Tamandua tetradactyla: one gene and its partners. The protein of the gene in region 1 interacts with the protein of each later gene in a pairwise test. Links are inferred from orthologs where the notes say so. Each region holds a gene or a part of one and is shown on either strand. Other genes may lie near its edges. The genes, in order: CBY2, CKS1B, C11H19orf44 and cilium assembly protein DZIP1L-like.

Evidence for each region.
Region 2: the proteins of CBY2 (region 1) and CKS1B interact in binary tests that used the Homo sapiens proteins (3 or more experiments, as listed by UniProt). The two-hybrid records come from large-scale screens. The link is inferred for Tamandua tetradactyla from reciprocal best matches to the Homo sapiens genes CBY2 and CKS1B.
Region 3: the proteins of CBY2 (region 1) and C11H19orf44 interact in binary tests that used the Homo sapiens proteins (3 or more experiments, as listed by UniProt). The two-hybrid records come from large-scale screens. The link is inferred for Tamandua tetradactyla from reciprocal best matches to the Homo sapiens genes CBY2 and C19orf44.
Region 4: the proteins of CBY2 (region 1) and cilium assembly protein DZIP1L-like interact in binary tests that used the Homo sapiens proteins (3 or more experiments, as listed by UniProt). The two-hybrid records come from large-scale screens. The link is inferred for Tamandua tetradactyla from reciprocal best matches to the Homo sapiens genes CBY2 and DZIP1L.

What each region holds. Positions count from the first base shown.
Region 1 is NC_135330.1:112,977,049-112,984,659, reverse strand, and holds the start of CBY2 (protein chibby homolog 2), read left to right. Parts: upstream 1-4,591; 5' UTR 4,592-4,718; coding exon 4,719-4,793; intron 4,794-5,903; exon of another isoform or gene 5,904-6,049; coding exon of another isoform or gene 6,050-6,055; intron 6,056-7,611.
Region 2 is NC_135330.1:7,960,797-7,968,049, forward strand, and holds the start of CKS1B (cyclin-dependent kinases regulatory subunit 1), read left to right. Parts: upstream 1-4,253; 5' UTR 4,254-4,362; coding exon 4,363-4,421; intron 4,422-6,461; coding exon 6,462-6,589; intron 6,590-7,210; coding exon 7,211-7,253. Other genes in the region: SHC1 (SHC-transforming protein 1), read right to left, coding at 371-538, 2,481-3,068.
Region 3 is NC_135337.1:95,050,868-95,058,667, forward strand, and holds the start of C11H19orf44 (uncharacterized protein C19orf44 homolog), read left to right. Parts: upstream 1-4,784; 5' UTR 4,785-4,942; coding exon 4,943-4,965; intron 4,966-7,800. Other genes in the region: CALR3 (calreticulin-3), read right to left, coding at 1,805-2,008, 4,156-4,257, 4,532-4,622.
Region 4 is NC_135341.1:82,033,290-82,040,471, reverse strand, and holds the start of cilium assembly protein DZIP1L-like, read left to right. Parts: upstream 1-4,163; 5' UTR 4,164-4,171; coding exon 4,172-4,672; intron 4,673-6,008; coding exon 6,009-6,093; intron 6,094-7,182. UniProt on the Homo sapiens protein: Involved in primary cilium formation. Probably acts as a transition zone protein required for localization of PKD1/PC1 and PKD2/PC2 to the ciliary membrane.

The DNA of each region.
Region 1 (7,611 bases):
ATTGTCCTTCCTCAGGGCAGTGCAAGTCCAGTCTTAGACCCACTTTTTGGAGAACTGAACTCATTATAACTCACTGAGGACTTTTCTTACTTCTTGAAGAATACTTTAGTCAATTTATTAGGTACTATTCAGAGGTCACAAATTATTTGGTAAGCATTCCATTATCATTAAAGAGCTTCTAATGGACAATTAATTTAGGGGATTACACACTTAACTAATTTGATGACTTTTAATTTTGGTTAGAGTAAAATGTACAGAGTCGCATAAATCATGATTACAGCTGTCTTAATAAACAAAGCCTTCAATTTTGGCCCTGTCAGTCTAGAGTGGAGTGGAGTAGAGCTGTGCCTGCCTCTTCATTTGTGAGTGTCCATTTCCAGGGCTTTTGGTGTGCCCTCCCATGACCAATATTCATTTCAGAGGGAGACAGTTACCAAGACGTCCCCAGTTACCTCACTTGAATTTTTCCAAAATGAAAGAACATGTCTTAGAAGACTGAAAGTCTTCTCCATCGGAAGTCTTTTGATTGCACTTTACTCTTGGCTTAAGTGAGTAAATTAAATAATATTTAGAAAATGTCAAGACTTTGGGGAAATTTCTGTTTGTTTCTAGAGTCAAGAATGAAAGTTCTGTAATCGCACAAAGTTCTAGAGCCCCCAGGTTTGGATGTTTCTCAGTGGAGCCCATCCTGTGCATAGCCTCTTCTCTGACTTCACCAAGACTTACTCTCCTGGCTGAATCTGAACTGGGAGTACCAACTATTCCACTTGCCAGTGTCATCCACCTCCAGTGGTTATTTTGATAATTCTGTGAATGTGAGTGTTTCTTTTATAACAACTGTTCATCTCACATAGTCACCCCTTGACAGCTGTCATCCTATTTTCCTACTTCCTTCCACTCCCAGACTTTTCCAATAGGTGATCTTTATTTGTTGCCCCACAGGCTTTCCAACTCTTTCAATGGACTCCCTGGCTGCTGCCTTCTGTATCAAAAGAAGATAAGGGGTGTTGGCCTTTTCTGGGAGCAGTTTTGCCCAAGTTCTCACTCTACTTGGGCTGCTTCTCCAGCTCCAGATGACACCTAGCTTCTGTCCTACATAGCAAAAATAAATTTTCCTAATCACTTCCTGCAATTTGGAGGTTGTAAGCATCATGATATTTACAATGCCCCCTTTCCTTCCCTACTTTCACAACTGAAAAGGAAAGAAAGGTTAAAATGGAAACCCCATGCACGCCTTGGAATCCAGTTCCAAGAGCTTTTATTCCTTTATCCCTCTGGGGAAGGGCAGAGGTCCCACCCTCTTTAACAGACCCTCCTGCTGGCTGTATTTCCTTGTGTGGTTCATCTTCAGAAAGTCACAGGCTAGGGAAGTCTGGAGAGTCTCGGATGCCTGCCTGCCCTTTCCTCTTGCTGCCTAACCTGTCTGTTTAGATTAAAACCCCACAAGTCATGTCTACCTCCATGCCCTGCTTAGCGGCCAATTGTGGTTGTTCACTGAACGTGGATGATTGATGACCATGTTAATCTGAGTAATAGCAGGCATTTTTGGGCACCATCTGAAGGAAGCTTCTGAGCACTAGGTTATGGATGCTTGTGTCCTGCAGAAGAGGAAGGAACCCAGCTAATGTGCAACTGGAGATGCTGGTTGCAGGTTGGCCCAACTGAAATGCTCCTCCTGTTAAAAACTAAATACAATTGAATCAACCAAACAAACAAGATGCCACACAAGCTGCAGGGTTATGCCTTTAAAAAAATGTTTTTGTTTAATTAGAGAGGTTGTAGGTGTACATAAAAATCATGCATAGAATAACAGGGTTCCCACAGATCACCCTATTATTAACACGTTGCATTAGTACCTTTGTTACAATCATGAAAAAACATTTTTATCAATATTTTTTTTTTTTTTTTTTTTTTTTTTTTTTTTTAAAGGAAAGACAGAGAGAAGGAAGGAAGGATAGAAGGAAGGAAGGAAGGTAGAAAGGGAAACATCTTTAAACATTTTCTTGTTTTATTGTATTTTGTTTTTCCGTTTTTTGTTACATGGGCTGGGGCCGGGAATCGAACCGAGGTCCTCCGGCATAGCAGGCAAGCACTTTGCCCGCTGAGCCACCGCGGCCCGCCCTTTTATCAATATTTTTATAATTGTAATAATAACTAGTTCATCATTTACAATAGGATTCACTGACTGTATTGTACAGTCTTATGGATTTTTAAAAAATTTTTGTTCTAATAACATGTATACAAACCTAAAACTTTTCCTTGAACCGTATTCACATACATAATTCAGTGCTGCTAATTATGTTCACACTGCTGTGCTTCCATTACCACCATCCATTACCCAGACTTTACTATCAACCCAAATAAAACTCCCTGCGATTTAAGCATTGACTTTTCACACCTTTTAACAGCAACACCAATTGTATATTAGCTGACTGAAATTTTTGAGTCAAAGGGAGCAAGGCAATGAGCTATGTGAGGGCAACAAAACATTCTTTATGGAGAACATACTATGTGCCTGGAACCTTATGCTTAAATGTAACCTCCCCATTTTAAAGATGAGGAAACTGAAGCTTCTAATAGGCCATGGACCTTACCCATGTCACCCAGTAAGTAACTGTTTATTGGGCCCCAGATTTGCATGATGCCGGCATCCAGACCTTTCTACCTGGAGCCTCATTTATTCTTTTAGGTTCAGTAAGAAGAGCTCTTTCCATGTCGTTGTGTGTTGAATTGTGGCCCTCCCCTCAAAGATAGATCTTTGCAAAAGGGTCATTGCAGATGCAGTTAAGTGAAGGATCTCAAGATTATCCTGGGTTAGGGTGGGCCCTAAGTCCAATGCAAGTGTCCTTAGAGGGGCAAAAAGGGGAGAAGATGCAAGAGAAGGAGATGGGAAGACTGAGGCGGAGTTTGCTCTACGAGCCAAGGAACACCAAGGATCATTGGCAGCCACCGGAAGCATCCAGGAAGAACTCACCCTGATCTCCAGAATTGTGAGAGAGCAAATTTTTGTAGTTTAAAGCCATCTTGTTGTGGTACACCCCCATACCTGAGAAACTGCTCTGGGTAGGACAGCCCTGGGACTCTAAATCACAGCTAAGGAAACAGGGCAGTTTGTGGATACATTCCCATTCTTTCCTTTAGCAATGCCCCTTCCCAAGACAGGTTGGGGATGGCCTTTGACAAAACTGGAGAGGGAGCCAAAGTTTCATCCTGAGGGTCTTCATCACCCATAGATATGGTGGGGCAGCGCGTTTCATTGTGGGACGTGAAAGGATCTGGCACTATCCCTTCACCCAGAATCAGGCTTTAGGCAGAAAAAGGCAAAGGACCATGGCAGAGGGGAGGAAGGTGGGAGACCACAAAGAGCAGGGCCTGCCGAAAAACATGACCCCTTGACCACACAGCCCCATGAGGATCTCTGGGCACTGGTGACATCACATTGCCCTTGGGTCTGCATTCTTTTTAATAAACTTTTTATTTTGAAATAATTTCAGGCTTATAGGATAGTTGCAAAAATAATGCAAAATCCAAACAGAGAATTCCAGCGTACCCTTTACTCAGATACCCAGATCCAACAATTTTGAACATTTTGCCACATTTTTTGTATCATTCTATCTACCCCCTCCATCTTTTCATCTGTTTTCTAAATATTTGAGAGTAGATTGTATACATCATACTCCTTGAATACCAAACACATCCCTGTATCTTTCTAAGAACAAGAGAAACTAAAGAGACAAAAACAACTAAATGCACTATGTCACCTGGACTGGATCTAACATGGAGGATAAAAGGCCCAAAAGGGCATTATTGGGACATATGAAAAACTTGGAATATAGACTATAACTTTATATCAGTGCCACATTTCCTGATTTTTATAGCTCCACTTAAGGTGGATACATAGGTGAATATTCTTGTTCTGGCTTCTCTGCTTTTAATGTATATTGTGAAAATATGTATACAGCTGAAATGTGTTTTTAGGCAATCTGACAGTGAACTGCTTAAAAGAACCCAAGACAAGTTTCCTTGCAAAATGAGTAAAGTTTGACAATGCAATTGATTACCCTCTGGATTTTACCATAAGTATATTCTTTAATTTTTGCACATTGGATTTTCTTAAAAAAAACTTGCTTGTGATGGGGTGTGGGAAACTTCAGACAGCAGTTATAGTGTCTCTGGCCTTGCTGACCCTGACCCACCACTCTTTTTCCCTGAAAATTGCATAATAATGTGGAATCGGGACTCTCTGGCTAAGAAGAGATTATTCTTATGTTATAAGAATAATCAGGAGGGTTCCCACGAACAGATCCTAGAGAGGGGCAACTGATTTGACAGAACTGAGGTCAGAGGGTCTGAGCTGCCCTGTTCATGAAGCCCTAATACCAGCAGCGTGGCCGCGACTTGGTTTCTACATTTCCTTCCGTGATCCAGGCAGAGTTCACTTTGGGTTTCTTCCTTCTTAGTAACCCAACTCCGAGTAGAAGACACCCACCTCTAGAGAGAGGAAAGGGGTCTCAGCTCAGCCTGGCAGGGGATGTGAGTCACCCTGGCTGGGGTGACCAAACAGGGGGCTGGTGCTTGGGCTATTGTGTGTCACACTGACCGTGACCGGCCTGCAGACACAGCCAGGGCTGAGCTCTTCCTGCTGCTCAGATGCCTCACTGCCACCTGTGACGCTCACAGGAAACCATGAGCGCTGAAAAACACCGTATTGTTTTGTGATGTCACCTCTGGAATGTTCTGAGTGTTTTGGTGACCAACTTCTGCATAGGACCTATACCTGGCACCTCACGTTGGTATGGCTTTTATTCTTGAGATAGACATACTAATTTCAGACCAAGAAGTAGGCATAGTTCTCCCTGCTTCAAAGGTTTTTGGAACGCTTTTACATCTTAATTTCTGCTCAGAGATGGATAAAGCATCTTATCAGATATCATGCACACGTTCCTTCAGACTCAGATGTTCATAATGCAGATGACTGACAGCAGGGCAATAAATGAGCAGAAAGTCCTGTGCTTTTCAGGTTAACAACTGCTGCCCAGAGGATGGGCTGGGAAGCAGAAATCATTTTATTTTCTCTTTTCTATTAAGTCCAAATTTTACAAGACAAAGAGATCCCAGATCTGAAAGCCTAGAAATTCCAATCAGTGTGTTTCTACCTCAGGTAGAGATTATCACAGAAGGACGTAACCCGTCAGTTTTAGCCAGAATAGCTCTTCTCCTTCAAAACTCTAGCATGATGTTGTGGAACAAGCAGAGTAGTCAAGGTCTGAGGTTCTACTTCCAGGGCAGCTTCCAACCAGCTGTGTGCCTGGGAGAGGCCACTTAGCCACTCTGGACCTTGGGTTCATCTTCCTTCAAATGAGGGTGCTGGGAAGCCCATTAAGACCTTCTAGCACTAACATTTCCAGCTTCTCTTGTACTTTGAAATGACCCAACCTTCTCTAAATGAAATTTGTTGGTGTTTGCCATTGGGCCACCACTCTGATTTCTTGGGGTCAGATTTGAGACAGGTCTCAGAATCAAATCATATGAAGTCATCCATGAGAAGAAAATCTAGTACACACATCAAGGGGACCAGGTCATTTGGAGTTGTTAAGAAAATTAAGCTCTGTTACATACCCAAGACAGAGGGCTTAAGGGAGGTGGATGTGTTTTCCAGAGGGATTCAGAAGAGAGGCAGATCAGTTGGTCAAGTCCTGAAAGACCTGAGATGTCCAGGTCTCCATCTGCTAAGCAGCTGTTTCCTTGGTGGAGTCCTCTTGATTGGGCTGTTTCCACATGCTGCTATGTCACAAAGGTCAGCCTTGCATCTCCAGACTTACCTAAGACCCAGCTTGAAGACCATGTCTGTGCAGCCAGAGGGGCTGAAATGTAGGGTGGAAGAATCAAATGAAAAGGTAACTACCTGAATACTGTCAGGGAAGGTAGGAGAGGAAGATCCCACGGCCAATGGACGTCCTCACTTGTTTCTTTCTTAATGCTACCTCTTTCCTCAGAATTTTCAGAACAACACATTTAGAGAGAGAAACTTGCAGCATTGTTTCTGTAGATGGAGGTAATTGTAACAATTTACACATGTGTTCAGCAGGTGGGAAAAATGTAGAGCAAGAAAATATTCTGGATATTTCTTTTTACATGGGCCTTATCATTTTGTAATGAACATCCATTTCAGCTCATGAAGCTCAACTCTGGAATGTAACTTACTCTTGGTCACTGGCCAGGATGACTTACCAATAGTATTCCTACAAAGTGTGGGAATTTTGTTTTAGGGCTAATTCATTCCACTTGAAAGTCATGTGTAGTTCCTGCCTTGAATTCCTTTGGTTCTTTCAGTCCCAGTAAATCATTCAGCATTACTAAGGGATGGGTAGAGGGAGTGAGGGGGTGTGGGAATTGGATTTGAAAGCATTGTAGTGGTCATGTGATAATGAGATTGGGGAAAGGGCTCCAGTTTATTCTGGAGCTGCTCATCTCCTTGACTGCAGGACTTACAGAGAGGGCACAAGCCACGTTTCAGATACCTGCTGGGTGCTCTAGGCATGAGCTCTGGAGCAGGGGTGTGGGCAGCTGTATCTTCAAATCAATAGCAGCTTCTACCCCTGGGGCTGTGAGAGGGACCTGCATGCTCACTCTACCTCCCCAAAATACTTTGAGTGTTTGTTACAGAAAATGAGTTGGTGTCAGTTTTGGGCAAAAGGACTCATCTGGGAAACTAGATTGAGCACTAATCTGGTTACGTGATCACGGGGCCAGGCGGGTGGGAGGTAGATATTTTATTGGTGTGGGAACTGGAATTCCCAGGAATCCCAGGGAACCCCAGGGTTTGATCCCTCAGCCAGGTCCTGCTTCAGCCCTGAGATTCTACCCTTGCTTTTAGGAGACAGTACCTCCTCTTCTACCATTTTAACTGCTCCTACAGACTTCCACGCATACATCTGCGACTTGCTGCTCTACTCAAGAACTGAATGTGTTTGCTTTACTGGGAGGAAATGCTGCAGCAGTTCTGCTCATCCAGAAAGTGTGTCTGGCCTCCCAGCTCCTAATCATGCTGGGCGTTCAGCCTTCTCAATTACATTGCAAATGCCATTGAAGCATATTTGTTATCACCCTGAGGTCTTTTCAGGTCTTACCGATTTCCAGTTTTTCTTCCGCACGTTAAATATTTGTGTTTCCCTCCAGCACAGCAACTTGCAAGCCACTGCTGTTTTTTGCTGCCCGAGCTGGCTCACCTCTCAGTTCCTTGTGTACCTAACGATTCAGTTCTCGTGGGCATTCTCCACATTTCCCCAATGAGCCATATCTGTGAATTTCATTAGGGCTTTGTTTACTCCTAGATCATTAACGAAGGGGCTAGGCCAGATCAGAATGAGCTCCCACAGCACGCTGCAATGCCCCCTCATACCTCAGTGTCCCTTAGTTTGGGCTTGTTCTTGAGAAACTGTGGAAGCCCATTGAGAGTACTTGGAGCTCTGCCAAACTGAGTAATTGTTGCGATGAAGATTTTAGGTTCTGTGTCAAAACAGCTAGCCAAAGCTACCATGTGTGACATCTTCTTTATCCTCTTTACTGTTCGCGTTGTAGTTCTATTAACATCAGTCACATTTACCTTGG
Region 2 (7,253 bases), about 110 Mb from region 1:
AGTGACAGGCAAGGGATGGGGTGGAGACAAAGGAGTGACATCTTCTGGAAGAGGGAGGAGACTGGAGGGGAGAATCGAGGCTCCTTCCCACACCTACTAAGGGCCCCCCATGTGCTGGGCATTGTGCTAAGCATGGCAGGGTAGGGGTTGGGGAGTCAAGAGAAAGGGCCCTAGGGAGACCTGGAAGGAAGCAGCTACAGAAACGGAGAAGGGGCAAGAAAGGTGTAAGAAAGGAAAGCAGACACAGGAACAGAGCCCTCAAGGAAGGGGTTATTGGGGAATGGCAGGAAAAGAGATTCCAGCGAAGCAGGAATAAGCAGAGAAACTGGAATGGGTCTGGGAGGGAGGAGAAGGGAGGATGTTCACTCACCCGAACCAAGTAGGAAACCCCAGGTCCCATGACTTTGTCGTTGGGATGCAGCCAGCCCCGCGTGGGCTTATTGACAAAGCTCCCGTGGCGGGTCCACTCCTCGCCCCCCAGCTGGCCCCCTTCCACCCGAGTCCTGCGCCCGCCGCCTCCACTCAGCTTGTTCATGTCCTGGAGGAGGGGCAGGGGGCCTGAGTCTGGAATGGCTGCCCCTACGATCCCCTCCCCATCCTCAGCTGCCCTTTCTGGCTCCCCCCTCGGTCCCAGGCGCCCCCCAGCCGGGTTGGCCAGCTTCAGGTTGCTCATCCGGGGAAAGAAGGAGCACAGGGTGGTGGGACTATCGTCCACAGGCAAAGGTGGCAGGATGGGTCCCAAGGACGAGGCTGAAGGGGAAGGCAGCTCCTCCGGGGGCGAGGACCCTGAAGCCCCCTCCTCCAGCGATGACAGAGACTCATTCCGAAGTGGGTTGTACTTGGGCTTAGGGGGCAAGAGATCCATGGCTGGGGTGCGAAGGGGGCTGCTGCCCAGCCCGGCCCCCCTGCCAGTCAGGGCAAGGGGGCCAGGCAAGGGGCATCCCAGGCCCTTAGCCTGGTGAGACCGCTATGGTCTAAGAGTCCCAGGAGTCCTGGAGGGAGAGGGATAGGCGGCTTTTGCTCCCCCAGCTCAGACCCAGACAGTTTCAGGGCCCATCCCCGCCCAACGTGGAGCCTCTCTTCTGGCGAGAAGAGAACAGGCTGGACCCAGAGCTGCCTGGCTCCTCCCCAGGGGCGGGAGCAAAGAGGAGAGACCAATCGCGAGGACAGTGCTGACTCACAGGCTCAGAGGGGCTGAGCCCCCACCGCAGCCCCGACTTAGAACCCTTGCAGGAGTAGAGATATCTAAGCCCCTTCTCCCGACCCCACCAGAGAGGAGTAAAGTGCGGGTTGTGGGCTAAAGGGAAAGATGGAGAAGTGGGAAGGAAAGGAGGGAAATGAGAGCATGTCTGGATCAGTCCAAACAGGACATGGGCAGGCCAGGGGGTGCAGGAAGCCAGGATGGGAGGGTGGGGGGTAGCAATGAGAGAGGAAACAGAGGCAGCTGAGGGTGGGATCCCTGAGCTCAGCACTTCCCTTCTAGTCCTGGTTGAATGCTCACATTCCCCCATCCTCCAACCCCGGCCACCTCCCCACCACTACCACACACAGTCAAGGTGGCCCCAGGGAGCCTGAGCCATTAGCTTTCTCTGCCACAACAGCTGGGGACTGGAGCTAGAAAAATGGGGAAGGGAAAGAAGTGGTCCCAGTGGATGCACAGAGGGGCCAAGAGGAAAGGCAAAACTGGTGAAGTGAAGGGGATAAAGCTGGAGGTGACAGCTGGAACAAGAGGACAGGCTAGTCGAGCCTTGTTTCCTATGCATGGCACCTACATGCCAGGCACAGTCCTGCCCCTCTTCCCACAGGCTAGTCAGCAAAGAATGCTGTCAAGGCTAAGAACTGAGAGCCAGAGCACTAACTTGAAAGTCAACTCCCTGGATCCATCAGGTGTACTCCTGTACCCCTCCTCCCCCCCACCCCCAGCAGTAACTGGGGAAGGGGCAGGGGTTCATCATAGAGCACAGTGTCCTCCACACCAGGGGACGGATGGGAGAGTGGATCAGTTTTCCAAGTGAAATGGGAGCTATGGGCCACTAAAGGACAGAAAAAGTAGAAGACAGATTTGTCTTAAAATCTACAGAAAAAAAAGGAGGCCAGAAGAAGACAGGCTGAGGCTGGACACAAGGAAGTCTCAAACCCATTCCTTCCACCCACAGCTTCTCACCACAACTGTGCTTAAGGGAGCAACAGAGTAACTTAGGAAGCCACCAAAAAACAAGAAGTAAAAGACACATACCCCCAGCTCACCTTGGAATTACCCTAACCTGAAATTTACTTCAGAGGGTAAAAAAATGATCAACAATATTAGCACTTAAAACATGTGAGACACTGTGCTAAACTCTTTCACCTCCCATTAGCCCTCATCCCAGGAGAGTTTGTCACCCCAGCCACCACTCCAGAGAAAGAATTCTATCACTCCGTCTCCTAAGACCTCAGCTCTCAGGTCTAGAGAAAATGAAGAAGGGATTCCTCAGACTCACACATTCAACACACAGTAGGATATCCTCATCTTTCAAGACAGCCATTCTGTGGCTGCCAGAGGTCGGGAGCAACCAACAGGTGTGGGCATTTGGAAGAAAAGAAAGAGGAACTTTGGCTCTAAATTTGCATAGAAAGAAAGAAAAATGCCTACTGGGAGCCCAGGTGGTTGGGTGTGGGGACGTTGTGTCTGGCTTCTCAGCCCAGCAGGGAGGAGGCAAGCTGGGAGGAAAGTAGCAGGAAATGGTGAAAGCCTCAGGAATGTTTCCAGCCGGGAAGGCTAGGCAAGCGGGACCAGGAGGAATGCCCAGACAAGAACTCCGGCTAGGGGGAGGGGAAGAGCCAGAGAAGTGGTGGGAACCGAGGAGTCCCTTAAAATAATCAACCACCACCAGGTAAACTGCTCTCAGCCCCCACTCCAAACCCGCATTCTCAGGTGACAGAAAACCCTCACTCCCGTCACACCCACACGCTGCACACCACTGAATCCACAGCCCTCCCCAGCTCGCGAAGTGCAGGTTATGACATTCAGCTCTTCCTGGGGTGGAGTCGGTCCTGGAAAGAGAAACTAAAGGAGTGGGGCTTGGCATCTACAAGCAAATCTCTGTCCTACTCTCGTACCAGACCCCAAGTCCCTCTTCAAGTCGGTCCACCACTGGAAGGGGGTGAGGGGCTGCCTCTCTTACTCCTCGGACGAAAGATGGGAACTTGTCTTCCCACTCAGTGGGGCATGAGAGAGCTCAGGAAAGCTGAGTCCAAAGCTCAGAAGACAGAAAGGGAGGGGAAATGTAAGTATTAATGTACAGCGTCTGGAATCAAAGACAAAGCCTCTGAGGTGGTGACCTGGGTCCTACAGGAATAAAGTTCCTGTGGGGGCGTGGCCCCTAAAATGCGTGCAGCAGATACTACCGAGAGCCAAGGTTTCTACACCATCAAACGCAGATTAAGGGAGAGGTGTGGCTTCTGGAGGGGTGGAGCCCCTAGAGAGGCGTGGCTTCAATTAATTCGAATAGTTCCTGGAGGGGCAGGGCTCGGCCCTTCTGGGAGATAGGTCTTTTGACAGACAGAGTTAGCGGAGAATCGTCCAGAGGAGGCGGAAGTTCAGACAGTTGAAAGGACAAACGAAGGGTTTCTAGTAGTAGGGATTGGAAGCATGTCTGGGGGTGGGACTTCCAATAAAGCTGGCGACAGGGTGGGGTCAGGAACAATAGATGGAAAACAAATCGGGGTTCGGGGAGCCCCCCCTGAAGTTGAGAGGTGGGACTTCCGGGAAGGGGGTCTTAGGGGGCGGGACTTGAAAGGGGAGACCGGAAGTGGGGTCCCGGGAGAGGGGTTCCGGGGTGGAGGTGTGGGTCACCTAAGAAGAAAAGAAGTCAAGACTCACCAGGGCCTCATGGAGTCTCCGCACCGCACCGCGGGCCGATGTGGTTCCGGATTACGCCACACTGCCTCTCTAGGTCGCCGCTCCAACTTTCTCCCCGGGCCAGGCCTCCCTGGAGAAACTTTATTGCACCTACTTCCGGCCTCACTAACCCCTGACCCTCTACCTCACTGTCTCTCCTTCGCCCCGCCCACTTTCGTAAATCAGCCAATAGCAGTGCGAGAGCGAGCACAAGCGCAGCGATAGCCAATAGGAGGCCTATTTTTGTCCCACGCTCGTTCTAGAGAAACGTAGGATACTGCGCTCCAATAAAGACTCGAGGAGAAGAAATCTAAGCCAATCAGAGGCTTGAAGGTGGAGCTGTCCCGCCTTGAGCCAAACAAGCCAATAGGAAGTGCGGGCGGTGTGTTTGAAAGCGAGGCCAAGGAGGGTGGGAGCGCGTGCTGCTGGGAGTTGTTTGGAGCTTGGCTGCGCCGGGCTGGGGGCCCTCAGTCAGAGCCATCATGTCGCACAAACAAATTTACTATTCGGACAAATACGACGACGAGGAGTTCGAGTACCGGTTAGTGCCGGCGCGGGGGCCGTAACGTGGTCGTGAGCCTTGACAAGTGAGAACACGAGGCGTTAGTAATGAGAACTGAGGCGACAGATTCGGCGCATGCGCTGGGGTTTAACGGGAGTGCTGTGAGAGCGTGGAGGGCGTGAAGCGCATGCGCAACGCGTCGGGCGCGCTCGGGAACAGATAAATTGGTTGCGAATTTGGACTCTTGAGAGGAGGCGTGGCTTAGAGTGTGTGTTTCGGTCCCTGACCTCCCAACCCCCCATCACCTTTGCAGGTTTCTGGAGTATTCTCTCAACTTTGTTGGGCAAACCGTCTAGGACCAGAATGCCTGCGGGGAGAAGTTGGCAAAAGCGGAATTGGAGGTTTTCTAGTGTCCTCAATGTGAGGAGAGGCCTGAGAGGGTCCAAATCTGGCTTATTTTGGAAGGGGGCTGCGAGGTGGAACAAATTGGCTAAGAGAAAAGGTTTAAGATGAGTCTAATAAAAACTTTAGATATTTGAAGGGCATCTGTTCAGGAAACAATTACGAGTACTTACAGGTTTCAGGTGTCCTGCTAAGATGCAAGGTTAATATAAGACGTTGTCTCTGCATTCAATGAACTTAAAATCTGTGGAAGATACACTTATATGATATGATAGAGATGTGTACAGGGTGTGGTGGGATTTATAAAACCAGCCAAGGAAATTGGTAGGTCTGGGAACGCTTCCTCGAGAAAACTGCCTGAGATGGACTCAAGGAAAAGATTAGGAAGGAGAAAGTGCCTCAGAATCAAGTTGCTGGTTAGTCGTCTACCACGGTTGGCAAAGAAGGAATCCCTGGATTGTATGCACAGTTAAGATTTGATAAATCCATAATTCTAGATTGGAAAATGAGGAAAGACAGAGGATTCTACAATTGTTAACATTCTACTAATCTGTATTAATTGTAATAATTAAGACAACTTTCTGTTTGCATATTGTCTCAATTGGAGAGTATAAAATGGAAACTTGCTTTTTGTCTTGTCTCTTCACCTGGCCTAATGCCTGGCTCTGAGTATACTTTGGAAAATTCTGTGTGTGTTGACAAATAACCATTTTCATGCTAGGTCCTTGGTAAAACAACCCCAAGCCCTTCTCGGATGCAATTAACTTTCTTTTCCTCAGCTAAACACCTCTACATCTGAACTAAACTAACTGAAACTAGATACTTATAACATCTTTGCAGGGAGAAGTCACTAGTTTCATCCTTTGGGAGATGTAACTCTTAGCTTGGCAAAGGTAATTTGGTTTAAGAGGTTTTTGTTAAATTATGTACTGAAGCCAAACTTTGTGGCAGAAGCTTGTTAGAATGTAAGCTATTTTCAGACATCTACACTAGAATTATCTCTGGGAAAAAACCTCTTACTAGCACAGAGGGAGCATTTAGTACATTTTCACTGAACATAATGAAGTCTACCCAGGTTAGCCTGGTTCAAGCTCAGAGTAATAATTTTTCTGTCATGAAAAGAGATTTTTCCCTGGCTAGGGAAGCATGGAGTTTCCCAAAAGAAGTCTCATGGCATATCCTTATTTCAGAATAAGGAAAATGATTTGGAATAGACTTTAAAAGATAAGATATTTCCATTTCACTCTTTGTGGTGGCTTTTCTACACAGCAATACATAATGGGCCTTTCTGCTCCACAAAATTGCTCTCCCTTTACCAAACCTGTTCAAAACCCAACTTAATTATTAATGTTTGTTGTGGGGCTTTCATTATGTTATGGGTAATCAATGAGAAGACTGTAAGCATGATGAAGGCAGGGACAATGTATCAGTACGTGAGACTTAAGTGCTCATCCATTTAAATTATTTATAAGGTACTTTTGTGAGGATTTACCTAACTTAGGCTGGATTCATAGCTGGCCCTAGCCCTCTATATACAATAAGGAATGTATAAACTCCTGACTTCAGAAACTGGTTTCTCTTTTCTCTCCTCTCTTGGCTTTGTTTGCAGGCACTTGTTTTAACAGACTGTTCACAGTGCTGACACAAATTCCCTGCCTTCCCTTGTTTCTCTTACAGGCATGTCATGTTGCCCAAGGACATAGCCAAGCTGGTCCCTAAAACCCATTTGATGTCTGAATCGGAATGGAGGAATCTTGGTGTTCAGCAAAGTCAGGGATGGGTCCATTATATGATCCATGAACCAGGTCAGTGGAACAGCTAAAAGCATCTGTATAGGGCTGGTACACTGAGAGAACGAAGGAATAGTAAGTGTGCTGCCCAAAGAAATGGGGGAAGGAGAGCATGATTTACTGGCTCTTTCCCCTCCATCACCTATCTAGAAAAACTAGAGTGACCAAAAATAAAAATAAGAGTAAAATATCCATGAAGTTCAGAGACAACCTGTCACTGAAGAAATCTCCTTTTAATTTTTAATTCATTCAACAGAGAATACTCTTTAAGGCCAGCTATACCCTGGTAGAGGTTATGGCCCTGTTTCATTCTCCACTAGAAAGCCGATTTTTGGATGTGTTCCAAATAAGCCAAGAAAAATATATTTGTTGATAAGACACCAGACACCCAGCTGCCAGGCAAAACTAATAAGGGACATCCCAGGGCTGTACAAACACAGCAAAAGGATTATTAACCATTCTGTACTTGGCAGAATTGCCTCTGGGTCTGCTTCTAGAGCCATATGCTTAAATCTTAATTTAGTTAAAGATCTAAGTGGGTGAAAGCTGGGAGGTGGCCATGGGACAGCATGAGATAAACTAAGTTGTGCACAGAATGGTATAAACTTGTCTCTTAAGATTTCACCCCTCTTTCAGAACCTCACATTTTACTGTTCCGGAGGCCACTACCCAAGAAGCC
Region 3 (7,800 bases), on another chromosome or scaffold:
AATGCTATTATCTCTTCTTCTGATTCTAAATAACATCATGACCCACAGGCTAGAGAAACATGAGTCAGCCTAACCAGGCATCCAAAGCCAGAGGCTGACTATGATAAATTCACAGAGAATGTGTGAGGGAGAAATGTCCTGAAGCTACCCACATCAGGAGGTGAGAGAAAAGAATTTTAAAGGACCATTCCCCAATTTGGGATGATGAAAGGACACTTAAAAATACACTTGCTCCTGAAGAGCTTCTTTGGGGAAGAAGAACCTACACTCTTTGGTCACACCTGTTTCACATGGCCCACTGAGGTATGATTTCAGTGAGATATTAATCAATTACCCTAGATACGGGGAGAGACTATTTAATTTCCCAAGGGTAGACCAACTTTTTCTGTAAAGAGCCAGGTAAGTATTTTCAGCTCTGTGGACTAGATGGTCACTGTGGTGACATCAGCCAACCTGGCTCCCAAGCAGCCACGATGACATGTCAAGAAGTAAGCTTGGCAGTGCAGACAACCAAAGCTATAGGCTGAGCCCCCAAATCTTGGGGGTTGTTCATATGAAACTTAACCCCACAAAGAACAGGCTAAGCCTACTTAAAATTAGGCGTAAGAGTCACCCCCAAGAGAACCTCTTTTGTTGCTCAGATGTGGCCTCTCTCTCTCTCAGCCAACACAAGCAATCTCACCACCCTCCCCCGTCTACGTGGTGATATGACTCCCAGGGGTGTGGACCTTCCTGGCAATGTGGGACAGAAATCCTAGAATGAACTGAGACTCAGCACCAAGGGATTGAGAAAACCTTCTCCACCAAAAGGGGAAAGAGTGAAATGAGACAAAATAAAGTGTCAATGGCTGAGAGATTTCAAACAGAGTCAAGAGGTTATCCTGGAGGTTATTCTTATGCATTATATAGTTATCATCTTGTTAGTCATGTTGTAGTGGAGAGGCTGGAGAGAACTGTCTGAAAATGTAGAGCTGTGTTCCAGTAGCCATGTTTCTTGAAGATAATTGTATAATGATAGAGCTTTCACAATGTGACTGTGTGATTGTGAAAACCTTGTGTCTTATCTACTTTGTCAACAGATGAATAAAACATATGGAATAAAGATGAATAATAGGGGGAATAAATGTTAAAATAAACTTAAATTGAAATGCTAGTGATCAATGAAAGGGAGAGGTATGGTATGTAAGAACTTTTTTCTGTTGTCTTTTTCTTTCTTTCTCTGAATTAATGCAAATGTTCTAAGAAATGATCATGATGATGAATATGGAACTATGTGATGATATTGTGAATTACTGATTAGTATGCAGAACAGAATGATCATATGTTAAGAATGTGTTTCTTGTCATATTTTTTTAATTAAAAATCTATTAATTAATTTTTTTTTTAAAAAGTGACCTTGGCCAAAGACACTGAAATGCCAATTTCATCTCATTTTTACGTGGCACAAAATGTTAGCCTACTTTGGACTTTTCCAAGGCCATTTAAAAATGTAAAAAGCAGCTTTGGAACACGAGCTGTACGACAAACAGTTTACAGTGAGCAGCAGTCACCCTCCCGATAAATTCAATGCATTTGGGATTGTGCCAAAACTGGATAAACAACTTTTTCACAGCACAAGAGAATGGCACAGTTGCCTTCTCATGAAATTAACTAGATTTAATGGTGTTAAAAACCTCAGGTCAGACAGACTGAACCCACCCAACAGACCTCACACCACGTCAGCAAACCGTGGTCTAATGAGGGCCTGGGTGGAAGGGCACCCACCGACAGCGGCCGGGGCTGTGCTGCCCACATGACCACTCACCAAACATGATGTAGTATGGGGACTTCCCGTTCAGGTTCTTCTGGTCCAGGTCTGCAGGGAAGACCTTGAGGTAGCCGCCACCGCAGTCCATCTTCTGCTCGTGCTTCACCGTGTACTGAATGACCAGCGTCTTCCCTTTGTTGCTAAATGGCTTGAAGCGGGCAGAGATGGCGTAGAATCGGCCATTCTGGGTGGTTTGCAGACCTTGAAGCAGAAAGTACTAATGATAGATAGGGAGTGGCATTGTGCCCAGAGAGGCAGGGAAGGTACACGGATGTGGTGCCCCAGACCCCAGAGAGAAACAGTTAGTCCAGTGCGACAGGGAACTCAGACACCACCACCAGCCAGCCCTCTGCTCTCAAGGAACTTCTACTTCACGCCAGGGATGTTTTTCCCCTTCACAGAGCACTGCAGTGTTTTAAGTGACAAACACACTCCAATTCTAAATGACAAGTACACATCTAACTATGGGCCTGAGGTTAATTCGGCCCCTTTCTTCTTCCTGACCATGAGAACATACACCGGAGGCTTGTGTGGTAGCTGGGTGAAAAACAGAACGTTCTATTCCTTTCCTCCAGTTCTCAATCTTCAAACAGCTACTTAAGAAACAGGGGAGCCAATGAGAACATGAAACCCGGGGTGGCTGGTGGGTACTCAAATGCCCACCGCCCTAGGGTAGACCCCTGCAAGCTCTCATCTGTTTTGTTGCACAAATAACCAAGTATGTGCTTTCTAAATTTAGGCATTCACTTCAAAACAAAAACTTCCTTTCTCAGTAGCCACTAGGAACTGTTTCAAATCCCTCTCTTAGACCGGAGCTTGTCAGAATGTGGAGCCATTCTTCCTTCCGTCCACCCCTCCTTGCTCCATGCCCTGCCTTACCCCTATACCTGCCTATGCTGAGAAATCAGAAATGAACTCGGGGTTTTGTCTCGTTATGTCAAAACCTCAGGACTGTGTTCCCCGCACCGGCACCCCTCTTCCCTCTGTTTCTAAGGGAGTCCATAGCCCCAGCCTCTCCCATACTCGCACCACCCAGGCAATTCCCAAGCCAGCTGATTTGCAGCCTTCTCCTGTTGTGCAGCCACCCTCCTCTTGCTCTCTCCACCTCCCATCCCTGTCTGGATAAATTTCACTCATCTTGGGATTCACGGCTTCAATGTCACGGTCCCAGGAGATGACGAGGGAAGGGACCAAATTAACTGGGTATCCCAAGTGCTTTGCCTGTGTCTGACAGCAACAGCCATATGCCGAACAAATGAACACAATGCACAGAATCTCAAAGGCTTCATGTTAGAAAAGGGGGGGGGGGGTGTGAAAAACAGACACAGAAACAACTCAGAGGAGATTACATGGAAACCTCTCTCCCTTGACAAGTTCCATCAAATAACCTGTCAGTTTTCATCCCACCTTTATTTACTACATGGCCTCAACTTTTACCAGCTATTCAGGTCAATGCATACCTTACAAAACAATGCCTATACCACCCAAAGCTAGAGGCTGCCAGAACAGGGCAGCGTTGCAATAACAGGGTGAGACAGTGGTTGAACAGAAGGTGGAGAAGAGGGAAAACTTTTCATCTACAGCACAGGTTGGCAAACTTTCTCTGTAAAGGGTCAGCCAGTAGCCCCTTAGACTCTGTGGGTCAATTCCTGGACTCTGCCTCTATAGTGAGAAAATCAGCCCCAGACATGTAAGCACACGATGTGGCTGTGTTCAGAAAGACTTTACGGGTGCTAAAATTTCATGCATTTCTTTGACCTTCACATGATTTCTGCATGTCACAAAATACCACCCTCCTTTTGATCTTTTCTTCCCCCCGACAATTAAAAAAACATGTGAAAACCACTCTCGGCTCACTGGCTGTACAAAAACAGGTGACAGGCAAGCTGGTTATTGCCGACCTTGGGTGAAAACCACCAGAAATGAGTTTATCCTTGCTGCAGGTGAAAGGGGCCAACTGCGAGAGGGACACAAGGGATGCCTCTCCCGTGGCCACACAGGGGCGAACACCCATCAACTCGAACCCCGAAGAGTTGTGCACTTGACATCACACACGTGGGGCAGCGATTTCTTTCTTTTTTAACGCGGAAAACAAAAAGCGGCAGGGAAGTCCCTCTGTGGGGCCAGACGGGTCCCCATCATCCTAGCTGATGAGTGGTCACGAAACACTAGGATGCTCTTGGGAAAGGAAAGAAGAAACAAAAAAACTGGCAACGAGGACCCTTCCTCCCCGGGCCTCGGTCTTCCTCCCTGTAAAGGGGGTGCAGGCAGGGGTCGGGGCGCCCCCACACCTCGCTCGGAAAGGCTGCCACGGGGGCTTTGGCATTCAGCATGGTTTCTACACTAACCTTTGTCTTTCTCTTTATGACCATAAAACTTTCCCGACGAGAGCCTAAAATGCCCAAATTGGGAATCGTTGGTCGACTGGACCCACCGGTTCCTCCAACGCTCTGCGAGGCGGGAAGGGGGGAAACGACACCGGTCAGGGCCGAGGGGGGCCCCCTCTGGGTAAGGGGGAGGGGGGGAGGAGGAGGGGAGGGGAGGTGGCGGGAGGGGGAAGGGAGGGGGAGGGGGAGGGGCCCTCGAGGCTTCGAAGCTTCGAGACTTCGCGCCCAGGACCCCGCGAAGTCCAGCCCGGGGCCAACGGCGACTCGGCCGCCCGCTGGACAGCTGGTGGCGGGGGAGGGGTCCGCACGCCTCCCCGAGGGGCGTCGCCCCTTTCACCTCCGTCTAGAAACTCCTCCTGGAAGTAGACGGTGGCCAGGACCACGCGCAACACGCACACGGCCCAGAGCGAGACGCGAGTCGCGGCCATAGCCGCTGGGCGGCGCCTCCTCTCGCAACCGCCCCCTCGCTCCCTGCGGCCTCCGCGCCGGGCAGCGGAACTACAACTCCCGACACACCCCGCGATTGTGACCTGTCGCGCCATTGGAACCCCCCCCCGCCCCGCTGTGCACGCCGGACCCGCCCCGGAACTACCAATCCCGTCATCCCCAGCAATTATGACCCGTTGTGCTATTGGCTCCCGGCGCGTGGTGCAGGCCGGGAGATGTAGTCTCTTCCTCCCCGGCGCTGTTGCCTGGGGCAACGGTGTCCTCAGGCCTCTGCGCCCCGCCAAGCGTGTCAGCGACCACCATGGATGGACAGCGAGGACAGAGGTCTGCGGGCCCGGCGGAAGAGCTTTGCTCTCGGGCTTGGGAGAGGGGTGGCGGGGGGAGGGGTGCGCGCTCGGGGGCGGGGCGCGCGGCGGCCGGGCATTTCCCCGTCTAGGGCCCCCCTCCCCCACAGGGAGTGTGGGCTCGTCGCGCCAAAAGCCGGGATGCTCTCAGGGGCGCCAGGGTTTTCAGAGGTCGGTTTATTTCATTTTGAGCAGCTCTGTTGAGAGAATTCCCATACTGTAAAATTCACCTGCTTGAAGTATGCAATTCGGTTGTTTTTTTGGAATCTCGAGAGTTGTGGCGCCACCGCCACAATCCAGCTTGGGAACTTTTTAACATCGCCCCGGAGAGCTCGCCTCTCCCCTGTGCAGCCCCCACTCCCACCCCCGCCCCTGCACACCGCAGATCTGCTTTCTCTCTGTGGACCCTCCTGTTCTGGGCGTTGCGTGTTCGCGGAACTGGGCGGTGTGTGATGTTTTGAATCTGGCTCTTTCACTCGGCGTGATGTGTTTGCGGCTCATTCACGAGGTGGCGTGTCAGTGTCCATGTTTATTCCGGAGTGATACTCCATCGCCAATGGACCACGGCCTGCCGTCCTTTCCTCAGCTGACAGACACGTTTGGGTGGTTTCCCTGCTCCCTTTAGGAACATTGGCATGCAGGTACTGGGTGGCTGGAAGCTTTCATGTCTCTCCTGCAGAACTGCCGGGTCCTGTGGTATCCCCATGTTTAACTTTTTGAGGAACTGCTAGACTTCCAAAGCGGGGACTCCCCGGTTTACCTTCCCCTCCCCCCGCAGCCGCATGGGAGGTCCAGTTTTCCCACGTCCGGGTCAGCAGGGACTGTCCTCTGTCTTTTCGATTCTAGCCATCTGGGCAGCTGTGCAGTAATATCTCCTTGCAGTTTTTATTAGCTTTCCCTGAGAGCTAGTGAAGTTGACCATCTTTCCATGTGCCCACTGGCCGTTCACGTTATCGTTCTGCTCAGATCTTTTGCTCTGGCTTTATGTTGAAGGCTGGGGGGACTTTATGGAGAACTAGAAGCCCGAAAACCTGGCCTAGATTCTCAGCCTCAGCTACAGGTGTTAATAAAGGTGGATATTGGCACTCTTTCGAGCTGTGTATGTCCAAATCCTGTGCCGGGGCTTGTCTGTCACCACACCCTGCAGCTAAAAGCAACCCCATCTTGCAGGTGCCCTAAGCGTGGCCTAACTTTAAGTGATCATTCCATGGCCCACGCAGAACCTGCTTTAATTCCTTTGCTCCTTATAAAAACCCTGCAGGGGTGATGTGATAGCCACTCCCCCCCCCCCTTTTTTTTGGTTTTTTAATTTGTGCTTATTTTTTTTGTGAAGAATAACATACATACAAAAAAGCACTAAATTTCAAAGCACACAATTATAGAACAGATTTCAGAGTTTGGTATGGGTTACAGTTCCACAATTTCAGGTTTTTCCTTCCAGCTGCTCCAAGACACCAGAGACTGAAAGAAACATCAATATAATGATTCATGAGTCATACTCATTTGTTAAATCCTATCTTCTCTTTTATAACTCCACATTCTCCTTTGATCCTTTTTAATTATTCATTTTTTATTGATATATATTATATACTCATAATCATCCAAAGTGTATAATCAGTGGTTCACAATATCACCATATACTTGAGCATTTATCATCACCGTTGACTTTTTTTGTGTGTGTGAAAAATAGCATATACAAAAAATAAATTTCAAAGCACATTGCAACAATGAGTTGTAGACCAGATTTCAGGGTTTGGATTGTAGACCAGATTTCAGGGTTTGGTATCGGTTACAATTCCACGATTTTAAGCTCTTGTACTTCTAGCTGCTCTAAGATACTGGAGACTAAAAGAAATACGAGCGTAATGATTCACAGTCATACTCATTTGTTAAACCTGACCTCTGTATAACTCCACCTTCACCTTTGATCTTTCCACTCTTCCCTTTTTACGGATGAGGAAAACGGAGACACACAGCAGGTCAGTAACTTCCCGGTATCACTCCGGACTAGGAATTTGCAGATGTTTCTTTAAGGTGTGGTTTTCCATCTACTGAGCACTGCTGCGGGCCAGGCCTGGGCTGGCCTCTCTCGATGCTTAGATGGTTTAAGATGCAAATGAGCAAGCAAACTAGCTCACCCGTCAGAGCAATGGACAGTAAGATAAAAACTTAATAACCATGGTAACCATAATTCATTCTTATACCAAATCTTCAGCTTTAGATTAAAAACTTTTCTTTGCCGAAGTCATTTTTGAGTTCAGCTTCGAAAGGAGTGTTAATGTGAAAACCTTGTGTCTGATGCTCCTTTTATCTACCTCGTCAACAGAAGAGTAGAACATATGGAATAAAAATAAATAATAGGGGGAACAAATGTTAAAATAAATTTAGTTTGAAATGCTAGTGGTAAATGAAAGCAAGGGATAAGGGGTATGGTATGTATAATCTTTTTTTCTCTGTTATCGTTTTATTTCTTTTTCTGTTGTCTTTTTATTTCTTTTTCTAAATCGATGCAAATGTTCTAAGAAATGATGAATATGCAAGTATGTGATGATATTAAGAATTACTGATTATATATGTAGAATGGAATATCTTAATGTTTTGTTTGTTAAATTCTTTTAATTAATAAAAAAAAAAGAAAGGAGTGTTAAATACAGGATTTGCCAGGTTTAGTAAATAATAGTACAGTATACCCTGTTGAATTTGCATTCCCTGCTTAAATAAATTTTTAGTATAAAAATATTTGGAACACACTTATTTTTCAATATAAAAGCTTGTGGGACCCACTCAGACTAAAATGTTCGTGGTTTTTCTGAAA
Region 4 (7,182 bases), on another chromosome or scaffold:
TTCTGAGTTTTTATAATTAGTCCTGTTGCACAATCTGTATCCTTTCAGCTCCAATTATCCAGTATCTTACCCTATTTCTATCTCCTAATGGTTTCTGTTACCAATGAAATTCTCCAGGTTTGTTCACTAATGTCAGTTCACATCAGTGAGACCATACAGTGTTTGTCCTTTTGTTTCTGGCTAATCTCACTCAGCATAATGTCCTTAAGGTCCATCCATGTTATTACATACTTCATAACTTTAGTTTGTCTTACAGCTGCATAATATTCCATCATATGCATATACCACAGTTTGTTTAGCCACTCTTTTGTTGATGGACATTTTGGCTGTTTCCATCTCTTCACAGTTGTAAATCATGCTGCTATAAACACTGGTGTGCAAATGTCCATTTGTGTCCTTGCCCTCATGTCTTCCTCCTGGTTCTGGTTCCCGGTTTCATTGCTTCCAGCTTCCGATGCCAGCAGTTTCTTCTGTAAGCATCAATGGGCATTCACTTAGCAAACCCAAGATGGAGGGAGGTGAGTGTGCATGTGGGCTTCAGCGCGGGCAGCTTTTAAGGATGGAGGTCTGGTGACATCTGGAAGGGGCAGTTCATTAGTTCCGGAAGTCAGGTTGGGAGGGGTGACACAGCCTCCGCAGCTCCAGCTGCAGTGCCCTTCCCCGTTCCCCCGACCTAACATTCCAGCCTTTTTGTGATAATAGGGCGCCGAGATCTTTCTGGCTACTTCCTGCTGTAATGGGGCGACGTGGGGTTATAGGCTGGAACCGTCATGGCCAGGGGAGTGGGGAGGCTGGCTGTAGGAATCTGGTGAGGAAGGCAGGTGATGATAATGATGCAGGAGGATTTGGTTGACTGCCACCCGGGATAGTTCCTTTATGTGTCCCTGAAGGAAGTTGAGGAGGCAGGGAGCCAATCTGTGGTGGATGCAGTGGTGAGCCGAAGGAACCCTTGTCGCTGGCCATGTGGAGGAAGGAGGAGAGAGAAAGCCCGGGCGCCTCTGGCCAGGCAGGCAGCACCCACGCTCCTCCCTCTAGCACAATGTTGAAGAATAGTGGTGACAGAGGGCATCCTTGTCTTGTTCCCAATCTTAGAGGGAAGGAAAGCTTTCAGTCTCTCACCACTGAGTACAATGCTAGCTTTGGGTTTTTTCATATATGCCCTTTGTCATATTGTGGCTGCCCCTTTTAAGGACATATGCCCTCCAGTTTGTCACAGTCCCCAACACTTCCTATGCCAACACTCCCTACTGCAGTGTTTCAGAATCAGTAAGTCTGAGGTGAGAACCTGCATTTCTAACAAGTTCCCAGGCGACACTGATGCTGCTGGTCTTGGGCCCACACTTTGAGAACCACGGCTTTACTTGACCTTGGACAGGAGCGGAGGAAGCAGTTGCTATTTCTCATCAAGCTCATTCTGTGACAAGCCTGTTTCACTCACTTAATGTTACTTTTCTGGCCCCTGTGGCATTTGGGTTTGCAGTTTCTGGTATAATTAGTATTGGATCCGTAGCCCTAAGAGAGAGATGGTCAGGACTGATGGGGCAGGGAGCGTGCGCTTGGGAGGCTGAGGCTCAGCCTTGGGCAGGCTGCGGTTAGCCGAGGCTGTGGGTATGTGTGGGCTCACCCCCAGGCAGAGGGCTTTAAGACCAGGCTAAGGGGTTTGGATTTGATACTGTGGCAACAAGCCATGCTGAGCTCTGGGGTGGGGGACATGGGTGAACAGCAGAATATTGGGGGACACTAGCCTATGCTGCCTTAAAGAATTGGGAAGGGATGGTAACCGAGGGAACTGGCTGGAAGGAGCAGTCAAAGGATGGGAGAGCTGAGAGAGAGTGGCTGGAGAGTGCTTTGCCTTATAACTGGGAGAGGGCTGTTGGCAAACATCTGAGGCCAGAGCTTAAAGAGTTAAGCAGTGGCGGTCCTCGGGCCAGCTCGGAGCCTGTGGGAGGACAGGAGGTGGGTGTCCTGTTACCCTTGTCCACCGCCTCCCTGATGACTCGCTGTTGCTCTGGGCACGGTGTGTTGTGAGCAATTGTCGCCGAGGCTTGGGTGACGCGGTTGCAGCTTGGAGCCGGGCATGGTGAGTATCCTGTCACCTGCCCCCTGTTTCCCTCCACCTGGCCCGTTACATTGGAGCGTGCCGGTCTTCCTTTTGTGGCCGTGGTGGGGTGCTTGTGGCTGCATATTTTTGTGGCTGCGTATTTGTGTTTTGGGGTACATGTTGGGGGCGAGTATCAGGGAGGGGAAGGATGGGAGCTGAAGCTGAAAAGCTGGGTGGGTGGGGTCCTATGGGTGGGCTTTAAGACCAGGCTAAGGGGTTTGGATTTGGTACTGTGCCAACCAAACACGCTGAGCTCTGCGGTGGGGGATGGGGTGTGCGTAATACACTTGGGGAGCCCCAGCACCCACCACTGGGCCCAGCACACATGGCCATGCAGCAAATGGGAGGGCAGTGAGTAAAAGGATGCATTGGAGATTTGAGGGATGAAATGTGATCATCTGACCAAAGCAAAAATTTAGGATAAATAGCCCTCAAAATTAATGTTGGGTGATTCAAATCCAGCTTTGGAGCCAGATGTACCTGCAATTGTACTTCAGTTGTGCCTTTCTTACCTGGGGCAAGCCACTTAAGTGCTCCGGACCTCAGTATCCTGGTTTGTAAACTGGCATGATAATACCTGCCTGTAGGTTTGTATTTGGCATTAGGGCCCAGCACAGAGGCTGGCACCCCTGCATATTGGCCGGTATTATTAGTGAGGGATTTCCCCCTCACTTCTGCCACCCTCCCAGGGGCCTGGGGGCGGGCAGGGCAGGCTGAACGCCACCTTTCACAGGTGTAGACAGCAAGACGGCTGGGGCCAGGCGTGCTGCTGAGGGCCTGCCTCTCTTTGCAAACCTGATGGTTCCCTGAGTCCTTTTTCTCTTTCATGAGGTCAATGATCTTTCTCTTCTCTAACTTTCCATTGTACAGAAAAGTCTGAATCACATAATCTAGAAAGAACTTGATTAGACAGGGTGTTGTGTACCTCTTGTTGCCCCAGTCAGATTCTAAGTTCTTCAGTGGCAGAAATTGTATATATTTTTTTCTTTTAAAAAAGATGAAAGTAACAGATGATGATGAGAAGTGACTTTAATAGTACTGAGAAGTGGAAAGTGCAAAGTAAAGGTCTTCTGACCTCTATTTCTATTTTCCAGCAGTAATTATAGTGAACAGCTTGTGGTCTCTTTCCAGAAATAGTCTGGAAATAAAATAAAATAAAAATAATATAATGAATAATAAATAAATATATTTTATACAAGTTTGATTACATATTATATATGAATGATAAATATAAATAACATATGCGTACATGTATTTCTTTTAGTTAAGGATTAGATATTGTTTTTATTTTAAAAACATTTTTCTTTTTGGAGTAGCTATACGTTTACCCCAGAAAAGTATGCAGAAAATACAGAGCACCTGTCATGTATTTCTTTTATGATGTGGAATACAGATGTGCTGTACAGAGGGCTGAGTTAGTCCTGTTCGTTATAGCATTGTGTCGTTGGCCTGTGAAAGGCCTATCATGTCCGTCTGTCTTTTTTGTCTGTGCATCTGTCTATCCATCCACCCATCTCCCACCCCCACATCATCCATCTGCTAATTTATTTATTCCCATTTCACACTCCCATTTCTCTTCTCCCTTGTATAAAACCATTCGAATGTGCATGTTTATATATGTATGCATTCTTTATTTTGTGAGTTATTGTTAAATGTGATCATATAAATAGATCATTAAAAATAGGAAAAAATATATATATACACATACACACACCTTGTTCTATATCTTCTCTTTTTCATGCAACGTATTTCAGAGATAATTCCATGTCACTGTGTGTAATGCTGCCTTATTCTTTTCCATAGTGGCACACAGTACTTCATACTTTATTCACGCAGTCCCGCCCCGTTCTTCTCCGCAGATTCGGCCACACTGGCACGTGCAGACACTCTACAGCTGCTTGCAGACACCTGGCTCGCCCCACCGGGGCGCTGGCTGGGCAGGAGTGCAGCGCCGGCAGCCCCTGCAGCCACCCGTCCTGGCCTCACTGGGACTCACTTCTCTTCCCCAGGCCTTGCCGCCGCTCGCGTTCCTGCTGCCGTGGCCTCGGGGACAGCCGTCTTACCCCGCCCATGCAGCCCGCCGCCGTCGCTGCCCAGGGCCTCGGCGGGCCCCCCTTCGGGGCCTACACCCCGCCCGCCTTCAAGTTCCAGCCGCGCCGCGAGAGTGTGGACTGGCGGCGCATTAGTGCCCTGGACGTGGAGCGCGTGGCGCGGGAGCTGGACGTGGCCACCCTGCAGGAGAACATCGCCGGCGTCACCTTCTGCAGCCTGGACCGGGAGGCATGCAGCCGCTGCGGGCAGCCCGTGGACCCCGCGCTGCTCAAGGTGCTGCGCCTGGCGCAGCTGACCATCGAGTACCTGCTGCACTGCCAGGACTGCCTGAGCGCCGGCGTGGCCCAGCTGGAGGCGCGGCTGCAGGCCAGTCTGGGCCAGCAGGAGCGTGGCCAGCAGGAGCTGGGCCGCCGGGCCGATGAGCTCAAGGGTGTGCGCGAGGAGAGCCGCCGGCGCCGCAAGATGATCAGCGCCCTGCAGCAGCTGCTCCTGCAGACCGGCGCCCACGGCTGCCACCCGGTGCGGAGCCTCCGCGGGACCCCGCAGGGGCGGGCGGCGTGTCCCAGCCAGGCGGTCACCCCCCACTTACGCTCCCCCCCACCTCCCCTGCCGCACCAGCCCCGAGGCCTCTGTGAGGCTTCTCCTTGTTCAGAGTGCAGCCCTCAGCTGGTTTGGGCCTTCAAGAAATGTATAGTTTGGGGGTAGGTGGGACAGAAGGAATCATTATGATAGAATGTTAATTGATAGAATGATAATTGATATAACTGCTGTAAGATAGAGTTAATTACCTTACAAAGGGTTAGAACCCTTTCAGCACTCTAACCTGGTTTAGGCCCATAGGAAATTTATTGGTTGATTTTAACTGAAAAGGTTTGGTGGGTGTCAGGTGTGGCTTGCCCCAGGAATCAGATATGGCTGCAGAATCGAGTTTCTTGCTCTGCAGCTCTTGGCTCTTCTTCCTCTGTGTAATTTAGTTACATGGCTTACATGGTTGCAAGAGAGACTGGGACGTAAAGTCTTTATTTTCAGTGACATCATGACTTGCTAAAAATCAAGGTTTCTGTTACAAAGGAAGGGGAAAATGCATTTGGGGACGCCAACTGGCAGAGTCTGTTCCATTGCCTTTGTGCAAAGATAGCAAATAGACTTCACTTTACTCTGCCCTCTTACTCTGATTGATTGGCTGTGGCAACCTGCAAAGTTTTCCTCTGAAGTTTTACAATGGAAAGATAATATGCAGTGACTGACATGCATTTAGGAAACGGAAGTGGAATTACAGATGTTATTTATTTGCTGTCTCTGCCTCTGGTGTTTTTTCACCCTGGGATGGGGCTTGGGCATATTTTAAAACTTTCTACTATGGAAAATTTTAAACACAGTGATAGAGAGAAAGTCACAATGAACCTTTATCTGCACACCACCCAGCCACTCACCAACTCTTGGCTGATATTTTGTTTGTTCCTCTATCCACTCTCTCCCACCCCTGGATTATTTTGAGGCATATTTGTCATATGATTTCATCTATAGATATTTCAGTATGTATCTCTGAAAAAGCAAGAACTTCCACTTTTAAGCATAATACCATCAACCGCACCAAAAGCCAACAAAACTCTAACCTCATCCACAAAACTTTGTCACCATCATCAAATATCCAGCCGGTGGTCTTGGTTCCCCAGGGCATGGGTAGTTTTAAAGCTCCAGGTGAGTCTGGTGTGCAGCTCGGATGGGGGACTCGCTGGGCTCAGTCGGTCAGCTCCATTTCCCAAGTGGCTCAGGGGGCCTGAGGGGTGGGGAGGACTCCGGGCCGACTGGGCCAGGCTAATCCTGTGGCCCCCCCTGTTTCCTCTCTGTGCAGTGCCACCTGTGTGACAAGACGTTCATGAACGCCACCTTCCTGCGGGGCCACATCCAGCGTAGGCACGCGGGCTCGGCCGACGGCGGTGAGCGCTGGTGGCACCCTGGGGCGGGGGCGGGCCCGGAGCTGGTCTCCCGTGGGTGGAGGCACCTGCAGCCCGGGGTCTGAGCCTCCTCGGCCTGTTGAGGACGTGATGTGCGCGTGTGGGGCTGGGGAGCGTGTCTGGCCGCGGGCAGGGAAGGTGGATGGCGAGGTGGTGTCGTCTCGGTTTTGTCCCTGTCTATTGTGGGACCTTGGCCGTGGCTTCCCCCTTGGGGTCTCAGGGGCCTCTGCTGAGAATAGGGGCAGCCGGACCCCTGCTCAGAGGTCCCTTTCCTCCCAGCCCCCTGCGCACCTGGCGTTGTCTGAGACTACTGGCAAGGAGCGTAAATGAGCCACTGACCAGCTTTTTGATTTTTCTATTTACTCGAGTATATTATCATGACTTCATCATTTTAATATTACCATTTCAAGTTTTGGCATGCTTTTTGCCAAAAGAGGTATGCGAAAAAGATCTGTGGACCTTTTTTTTGAGGTTCAACAAGAAATATCTGTTAAAATAGCTAAATATAAAAATCCCCATTTTTCTTATTCCCCATCTTTTAACTCCCCTTTCAAAGAACAGGTTTAATATTTTCAAATAGTAGCATTTATTTAATTATGATGCATTTATTATGTATCTAATACTTTTTGGAGCTTCATTCGAGGCTGCTAAGGAAAAACATTTCCCATTTGTTAAATAATTTTTTTCTGATAAACATATGTCTTTGATATAGGAAATTTAAATACAGAAGTATAGAAAAGAGAAAATAAAAAATCATGCATGATATTACCAGTGGTTAATATTTTGGTGTATTCTCTGTCAGTTTTTTCTTTATATCTGTATAAACATTTAGTATGCAATTTTGACTATTGCTTATTTTCATTTAAGGATGTATCACATTTTCCATCGTCACTGAATCATTTTTGCAAATAGGATTTTTAATGGCTGTATGGTGTTCCCTCATGTGGCTATCATAATTTATTTCATAGTTTCCTCCTGTTAAATATATGTCTACTTTATTTGTCTACTTTAAATCACATGATGTTGAGCATTCTTGTGTGTAAATCTGTGTGTATACCCCTGATTATTTCT